Sus scrofa: one gene and its partner. The protein of the gene in region 1 purifies or fractionates together with the protein of each later gene. This does not show direct contact. Links are inferred from orthologs where the notes say so. Each region holds a gene or a part of one and is shown on either strand. Other genes may lie near its edges.

Region 1 (3,984 bases):
TAAAGTGACTCTAATGCCTGTGGTATGAAGTGATTTGCTCCAGGTCACATATTTGGATAGCAGCATCATTTGGTGTTCCAGCATCCTTCCCCAAGAAAGTTGGAGGGATAGTGGGGGTACTCTGTACCAAGCAAATGTGTGAATGAAGTCCTAGATTGCTACATGGGTTCCGACAGTGCAGAGAACAAAGTATTGGTACGATTATGTTGTCAAACTCTTGGCGTCCATTTCAGATGCTTCACATTGGTCCACGGCCACAAAGCTTATTGTGACTGTGAAACAATAGGATTAGTTGTGAAAATACTACTTCTTTAAATATTTGAAACTAGAATGCAAAAAAAAATGTTGAAATAGATGGGGGGGTGATGTAAAATTGCATTAAATAGCAATTGTGTCCCAAGTCCAGGGACAGACAAATGATTTGGAAAGTCTGTTTTTCAGACCAGAGGGAATGGTGGTGAGAAAGCCAGAGTCTGGGGTCAGCTCATCACTGGCCCCCAACCCGGTGGATTTTCCCACCACTGTGTGCTCCCTTCCCTCCTCACAGGCCTGAGGAGGGTGGGTCCCCAGGAAGCTCTGGGTTTAAGGCAGTGGTGTTATGCAGCTTTGTAACCTCACTGGTAAATGATATCACAGATTGGTTACCAGGCCCAGATCGATGGACAACTCGGGCAGCAGATCGATCACATTTCCGGGGAGAATTTACCCTTTGTGACCCGCAGGGGGGCAGGTGGTTCCTCAAAACAGGCTCTGGCTTGAAGGATTTAATGCCGGTTCCTTCCCCATTCCTTGTTCAGCTCGGAGGGCCTGGACAGTAACAGCCGAGTAATAACCTACTTTTTCATTAAAAAGATGTGGGAGATAGGAGTGGGAGGGGGCCGTAAAGGTGAGGACAGAATGGCAAAAATCCGCTCCCAGAAGGAAAGCCAGGGTAGAGGCGCGCTGGGTTCACTTCCCCCCGCCCCTCCTCCCTCCGAAGCCACCCTGAGTTTCGGTGCCGGGGGAACTAGCACAGCGTCGCGCCAGGCCGCTGGCCGCGCTCTCGGCGCAGTGGGGGCGCGCGAGCCTGCCCTGGCCTCTCCGGCCAGGCAGCAGCCCCCTCCCCGTCGCCCCGAGCCCCTCCCCCGGGCCCGGAGCCCCTCCCCGCGCGCTTCCCCTCTCTCCCCTCCCTTCCCTTCCCTGCCTGCCCGGCCCTGCCTCCGCCTCCTGCGCCCACAGCCTCCGCGAGCGCCGAGCCCCCCGGAGCCGCAGCGCGGCCAAGGGGCGCCGCTGGCCCCTCCCCAGCGCGCTGTCAGCAGGCTCTGGGGCCCCCGCCCCGTCCCCTTGCCCACGGGACACACCCCCGCCCCTCCTCTGCTTCGCCAGTTCCCGCCGGACCCACCGGGCGGCGGAGAGAGCGGGCGGGCGAGCAGAAGAGCCGCGGCGGCGGCGGCGCGGGAGGGAAGGGGCTCGCGGCAGGCCCACCGGGAGCCACCCGGGCACACGGAGCCCGCGTGCCCTCCATACCGTCTCCGCCCAGCAGCCGTACCTGTGGGCGCCAGAAGCCCGGGCAGCGGCGCGCCGGACCGGGGTGGCGGGTGGCCCCACAGACCCGGAAAGCGGGGGAAGGAGCCGGAGCCCGACCGGGATGAGAAGGTGACGCCGCCGGGGGGCGCCACTCGCTTTGTAGGGGAAGATGCTCGCCTACTGCGTGCAAGATGCCACCGTGGTGGACGTGGAGAAGCGGAGGAACCCTTCCAAGCATTATGTGAGTACGGCCCCTACCGACCCCTGCGGAGGGGCTGGCCAGGAACCCCCAGAGGGCCCCCGGTAGCCCTGTGCCCCTAACCGCTGTTGAGTCTAGAGCCAAGTGCCCATAGGGCAGCCGTCAGTGATGGAGTTTCTTCGCTGGGCTCTGATTTCCAGGGAAGCCTTTTCTGACCTTCCTCCACTCCCCCCAGGCCCGTTTTCTTTTTTTGGCATTGGAATTGGCAAGTGGCTGCCCTTGTCTGTTACAACGGTGAAGTCATCTGTCCGCCTGAGCTTTGATGGATGGGGGTGGGGGGGAGCGTTCGTCAAACCCTCGCTGGGCAGCTCCGTTGGGAAGGAACATCCTCCCGGTCATCCCAAGGGGTTCGGGTCGCTCACGCTCACAGACCGAGATGCTTTCAGAGGCTTGCCCTGGGAAAGGAAGCCTCGCGCAAGCCCCCCACTTTTGCTCTGGTCTCTGCCTCCCTAGGCCTGGGTCTGGGGTCAGAGGGAAGCCGCCGCGCCCCATGCCCCACCTCCACTCTCAGCCCCGAGCTTTGGTTTCCTTAAAGTCATTGTGTCGGTCGGTGTGAGGAGAAATGTGGCTTTTCCTTTTATCCCTCCTCTGGACGTGACCCTTAACCGGGTTCATTTCCTCTTAAGTGATGCTCCATTTCCAGACAGGAGGCGGCAAATGTTTGCTGTGGTCTCCGAGGAACAGCCGGCCGCCCCTCCCCCTTCCTTCTTCAAACTTAATGAGAAGGGGCTAGAGTTGATTGAGCCGAGCTCCGGGCCTGTGGGACGGGTCTCCCTTTCCTTTCAGCCCGTCCTCTCTTCCCATCTTTCCCACCTTAGGAAGTAAACATTGTCCTTGACGCCTGAGGACTCCAGTCTGAGCAGCTTTGCCGCTGTACTTGAGATAGGAGAGACGGACAGCAGGGCACCCAAAGCCTAAGGACTGCATCTTATTTGCAAATTAGGCACTTAAAGGAACATTTAAAATGAATGCTCAGGAGTTCCGGTCTTGGCGCAGTAGTTAACGAATCCGACTAGGAACCATGAGATTTGCGGGTTCGGTCCCTGCCCTTGCTCAGTGGGTTAACGATCCGGCGTTGCCGTGAGCTGTGGTGTAGGTTGCAGACGCGGCTGGATCCCGCGTTGCTGTGGCTCTGGCGTAGGCCGAGGGCTACAGCTCCGATTCAACCCCTAGCCTGAGAACTTTCGTATGCCGCGGGAGTGGCCCAAAGAAATAGCAAAAAGACAAAAAAATAAAAATAAAGTGAATGCTCAAAGCATTAATTTATAACAATTAAAACAGGCTGTTGGTTGCAGCCCTAGACAGTACCTTGATCCCTGAAATGCCTTTTATTTCCTTTTTGGAAGGGGACTGGGATTTGTGCTAATGTCAGCCTCAGGCTACTCTTTCTGTCTTTATCCCCAGTAGCTCTGACCTTTGGGTTTCTTTATAGCAAAATAAATGGGTATGGGCTCAGTTTGGGGAGAAGGTAAACCAACCGGACAGAGAGGTGGGTGCTGGTGGAAGAGTTGTTCCTTCTGTGTTGCTGGCTCCGCAAGCGTCTAAACCTGCTGTTTCAAGAAAGCTCTTTTTGGAGGACTTAGGTCACTGAGTGGTCACCCTGCACTGGGGACAGATGTCCATTTGCATATCCCAGCACTCCTTATGATATCAGCCTTCCTAACTTCTCAAATGTTGCAGGCTAAGTTTTAGGAGTTCTTTTCTAGTCCTCTGGGTTGGCACTGCTTTCAACAGATGGCACTCTCTGCTCTGAGACCCAGGCAGGTGCTTTTCCCGGCTCTGGCTTTTAGGCAAAACATCAAATCTTGGCTTTGACCAATGATGTCCAAGATTACAGATGTAGAACCTACTGGCAACAAGCCAGGAGTGTTGCTGAAGCGACCGGAGACCCGCTGCAGTCAGTGTTGAGAGATGGTTACTGCTGAGGCTCTGACTTAGAGGCTCTTGTTTTAAGCCTGGCTCAGCCACTGACTTCGGGCGAATTATTTAACCTTAGTGGGGCCTCAGTTTCCTCATTTTAAAGTGAGGATAATAATAGTATCTACTTCATAGGGTTGTCTGGAGAATTAAATGAGATCATCCATGCGAAGCACTTAGGAAGTTCCTGGCACATAACAAGCACTCATTAAATGGTAGCTTATGATGGGCATGATTCTGACTAAGAAAGCACTTTTGAAAAGCAGCTATTAATGGTCTGGCAAGAAGGAAGAAAGATTTGG
Region 2 (4,233 bases), on another chromosome or scaffold:
CAGGTATCAACTTGGGAGCCATCAGCAAAGAAATGATAATTGAAGCCATGAGAATGTTATAATCATAGGAAAGAGCAGAGAGAGAGAAGACAATAGAGCTCAGGGGAAACCCTAAAGAGTGCCAACACTGAAGAGTTGGACATGGAGTTCCCTGGTGGTTCAGTGGGTTAAGCATCCGGTATTGTCACTCCTGTGGCACAGGTTCAATTGCTGGCCTGGGAACTACCATATGCCACTGACATGGCCAAAGGAAAAAAAAAAGAGAGAGAGAGAGAGAGAGTTGGACAAGGAGGACCCTGGAAAGTAAAAAGGAATTACCAAGGAAGTAGGAAAAAAACAGTGTGGTGTCATGGAAGTGGCTTAAGAAGGAGGAAGTGGTCACTGGGGCTAAATGCTACCAAGAGGTCCAGCAGGATAGTCTCTGAAAAGATTCTACTGAATTTAGTGACACATGGCCAAGGCAGACCTTGATAAGAAGAGCAGCATTAGGCAAGTAGTAGAGGCAGATTGGAGTGGGTTGAAAGATCAGTGGGAAGTGGGAAAATTGAGTTAAGTGTAGGCGACTCTTGAGCCATTTATAGAGAGAAGAGAGGGAGGTGGCTGGAGAGGGAGATTTTTTTGGTAATTGTTTTTAGATAGAAGAGACCCGAGTATGTTGAAATGCTGGTGGAAAGGAGCAAGGGAAGGACTCTTGTAGGTTTGGTAACAAGAAGTCAAAAACTTCCTTTTTGGTGACTTCTGTTTACTCTGTGAAGTAAGTAAGTAAGTATGAGGGTTAGGGGGCAGATGGAGAAGTTGGGAGTTTGAGGAGAAGGGGAGGTTAGAAATAGCAGTTGTGGAGCTTGAGAGAGAAGGCTGCCTGGGGATGCATAGTAGGGTTGTGGTTCAGCACCAAGGGCCTGGTAAAGACTAGGTACTATGAGTTTATATTGGCTTGTATCTGTGAGGTTGAATAGTTTTCTTCAGCAGTGTTTAGCTGCCTGGGCGCAGGCATAGAAAAGGCGGACAGTTGGACAGATCCAAGGTTGGGATGTTGCCAGGCGGATGCGACAACTCCTGGGAACTGGGGCTGTTGGCAAGAGAATGGAAAAGTAAAGGACCACGGGGTCTGGTCTGAGCAGAGTGAAGATCCCTATGAGCCAAGCCCTAGAGAAACTCTGGAACATGTGGAAAGGCTTCTGGAAAGAAGATTGAAGGACAAGCAGAGGGAGGCAGATCTGAGATGGGACAAAAAGGCAGATTTGGGGTGTTGAGCCCATAGACTTGCTTGTATGGTACCAGGGAGAGGTGGGAAAGGCCGGAAGAGGGGGAATTTTTAAGGGGAAGGAGGGCCTTGAGGGCGGTCTCTGGGAGAATTGAGGCCGGCCTGAGTGAGGGGGCGTGGCCAGGCGCAAATCCCGGGCGAGGGGGCGGGGCCCGGGTAACTGGGTCCCAGCGCCGCTGTGGCTGCGGCTGCTTCAGCGAAGGCTCCCGCCTCCCCACCCCCTTCCCCCGGCTCCTTCGCGCCCGCTGCCTCGGAGACCCAGGCCGAGGCTGGGGAGGACGGTGGAGCCCGGCCCAGGCTGTTCCCCTTCCCCCGCGGCTGGAGCATCATCCGGAGGGATTGGCTGAGGAGGAAGCCCCGCAGCCGGAGCGCGCGGCGCACACGCGCGCCCCCCGCCTCCGCCGTCCTCTCCTCCCTCCCTCCTCTTCCCTCTCTTCCCCTCCCCTCCCCTCCGCCCCTCAGCCTCCGCTGCGGCGGGAGGAAGAACCCTTTCCGACCAGCCAGGAGAGCCCAGATCGATTCCCATTTGGGGAGAAAGAAGAGACCCCGCACTCGGAACAGACCGTCGCTCGTCCCGGGGCCGCGGAAGTGGCTCGCCGCTTACGAGAGAGCCCGCGCCTAGCGCAGCCCCCCGACCCTCACCCAGCCGCTGCCGCATAGACAGCACTCCCCAGCGGGCCCCCGGCCCAGCCGAGCCCACTCCCCGCGCAGGGCCCGGGCTGGCGATGCCTGGCACCGCAGCGGCGGTGGCCGCGGCTGCTGCTGGTACTGCCACCGCTGCCACGGCTGCTGGCCCGGGCCCGGGCCGGGGGCTCGAGTCTCCGCAGTGGGGTTGAGCCCGCAGCCCCGCCCCCCGAGCCTGAGGCCGCTGCTCCGCCGGGCGCCGGGCCTCCTCCGCCCGCGCCTCCGCCCCAGGAGCTGGAGCCAAGCGGGGAGCCCGGGCCCCGCGCCCAGGCCCGGACCATGCATGGCCACCGAGCCCCGGGGGGCGCCGGGCCTTCCGAGGCCGAACACCCAGCCGCGAACTCCCACGGCGCCGCTACACCGGCCTATGCAGACTCGGACCCTGGAGCCTCGGATCCCGGACTGCCAGTGCCCAGGAGCTCAGGCTCGGCTCTCGGCAGCTCTTTGGATCCCCAGTTTGCCGGACCCTCGGACGCCAGCCTGGGCGTTGCTCCAGGCCCCCGGGTCTTGCCCTGCGGCCCCAGTCCACAACACCACCGGGCCCTGCGCTTCTCCTACCACCTGGAGGGCTCGCAGCCCCGGCCTGGTGAGTGATCGAGAGCATGGAAGCCCGGGCCATGGCCCTGGGAGCGGGTTCTTGTCCTAGGGCCTCTAAGCCCCACCTCGGGGCCGGCCCGCTCACCCGAGCCCTTCCAGTCTTCTCAACCCCCAGCCTTGTCCCTCATTTCTCGGCCTTCTTCCAATTCTTTCAACCCCAGTCTCCGCCTCCTCTCTGTCCCCCGTGCCCCTTCAACCCTTCCGAACCCCTTCTCTTCTCTCTTCTGAGGCTAATGGGAGAGGGAGCACTCCAAGAAAAAGCGGCTGTATTGCAAGGCAGTAAGGGGGGTTGGTTGTAGGAACTGAGGTTTGTTTGGAGGAATGGAAGAAAAGAAGAGTTTCTCATTTGCCAAGCGTCTATATTGTGCCAGGCACTGGGCTGGTGCTTCACATGGGTTCTCATTTCATCTTCAGAAGGCTGCTGTGAAGTATTATCATTAGCCGCGTTTTGTAGGGGAGGAAACTGAGGCTCAGAGAAGTTAAGCAACTTGCCCAAGGTCACACAGCCAGTATGGAGACAGGATTCCAAATCAGATATGTTTGAGTCCAAAGTCTATGGTCTTTCCGCTTCCCCAAACTGAGGTTGGAGACCATGAAAGTAATGCCAAGCCTTCTGCTTATGTGATTTTCTCCTGCACTGTTCAGCAGCTCTAGAGTATGAGTGGAAAAAAAAAAAAAAAGAGGGATGGTGGATTGATCCAAGGTTGGGGTTTTGCCAGGTGTGTGTGGCAGGAGGACAGGGGAAGGAGGGAGTAGAAGGTGCTGATGAGAGAGAAAGGTAGAAGAGGTGGGCCTCGGGGGTGGGGGGGTGGGGTAGAGCTGGAGGGAAGAGCTGGAGGGGCTGCTAGAAAGGGAGACAGCAGAAAGGTGGGGAGGGGGGAGAAGCCGAAGCCGGTTTTAGCAGATCTGGAGAGCTAAGGGCTACAAGGTTGTTTGTGAGAAGTCAGGATGCTTGAACTTGGATTTGCAGAGTTGGAGCAGCTCCAGGTCAGGCTGGGGCCAAAGACCACTGCCTGGAGAGGCCTTTGCATTGCAGAGATCTGAGTGTCTGAGGGGTCCATCAGGGCCTCCCCCATCTGAGGACATCCCATGTGGACCTGAGCCCAGGAACCATGGAGGAAGAGCAGTATCTTCCACTGGGCAACACTCAAAGAGCTGTGGAGCATCTGGGGCCCTCCAGGGCTCACATCCCAGGCTCCACAGGTTTTGGGGATTGTGGCTCAGCACCAGGTAGCAGTGGTAAAGCATAAAGTATGGGCAACATGTGCCCCTTGCTGTTCTTATGACCTTGGGCTAGTCATGGAAAACCTCTGGGAGTTTTCAGGGGCCCCCTAGGTGGGGGATGGAGATAACCAACTGACAACAGGCTTTTAAATCCCCTGCCCTGCATGTTGCTCCTGCTGACTTACCAAACTCCCTTTGACAGGCACTGTGTGGAGCAGGCTACTCACCTGCTTTACTGCAGCACCTTCTTTCAGATCCCAAAACATGCCACAAGCACACCCACCTCAGGGTTTTTGCATCTGCTTTTCCTCTGCCTGGCAGCTCTTCCTCCTGCTCTCCACCTGGCTTATTCCTTATCTTTCAAGTCTCAGCTCAGATGTCACCTTCTCTGAGAGACCTTCCCTGATCACTTTAAGTAGGGCCCCTTTGTGGATCTCCATCAGAGTTGCCAGTGGCTTCCATCC

What was found. Proteins that work in one complex are often made in the same cells at the same time.
Region 2: the proteins of SH3PXD2A (region 1) and FGD1 purify together in Homo sapiens (affinity purification with mass spectrometry; 3 studies listed by BioGRID and IntAct, with this or other methods). This does not show direct contact. The link is inferred for Sus scrofa from reciprocal best matches to the Homo sapiens genes SH3PXD2A and FGD1.

The regions. Positions count from the first base shown.
Region 1 is NC_010456.5:114,774,452-114,778,435, reverse strand, and holds the start of SH3PXD2A (SH3 and PX domain-containing protein 2A), read left to right. Parts: upstream 1-1,184; 5' UTR 1,185-1,675; coding exon 1,676-1,747; intron 1,748-3,984. UniProt on the Homo sapiens protein: Adapter protein involved in invadopodia and podosome formation, extracellular matrix degradation and invasiveness of some cancer cells. Binds matrix metalloproteinases (ADAMs), NADPH oxidases (NOXs) and phosphoinositides.
Region 2 is NC_010461.5:47,228,857-47,233,089, reverse strand, and holds the start of FGD1 (FYVE, RhoGEF and PH domain-containing protein 1), read left to right. Parts: upstream 1-1,433; 5' UTR 1,434-2,227; coding exon 2,228-2,534; intron 2,535-4,233. UniProt on the Homo sapiens protein: Activates CDC42, a member of the Ras-like family of Rho- and Rac proteins, by exchanging bound GDP for free GTP. Plays a role in regulating the actin cytoskeleton and cell shape.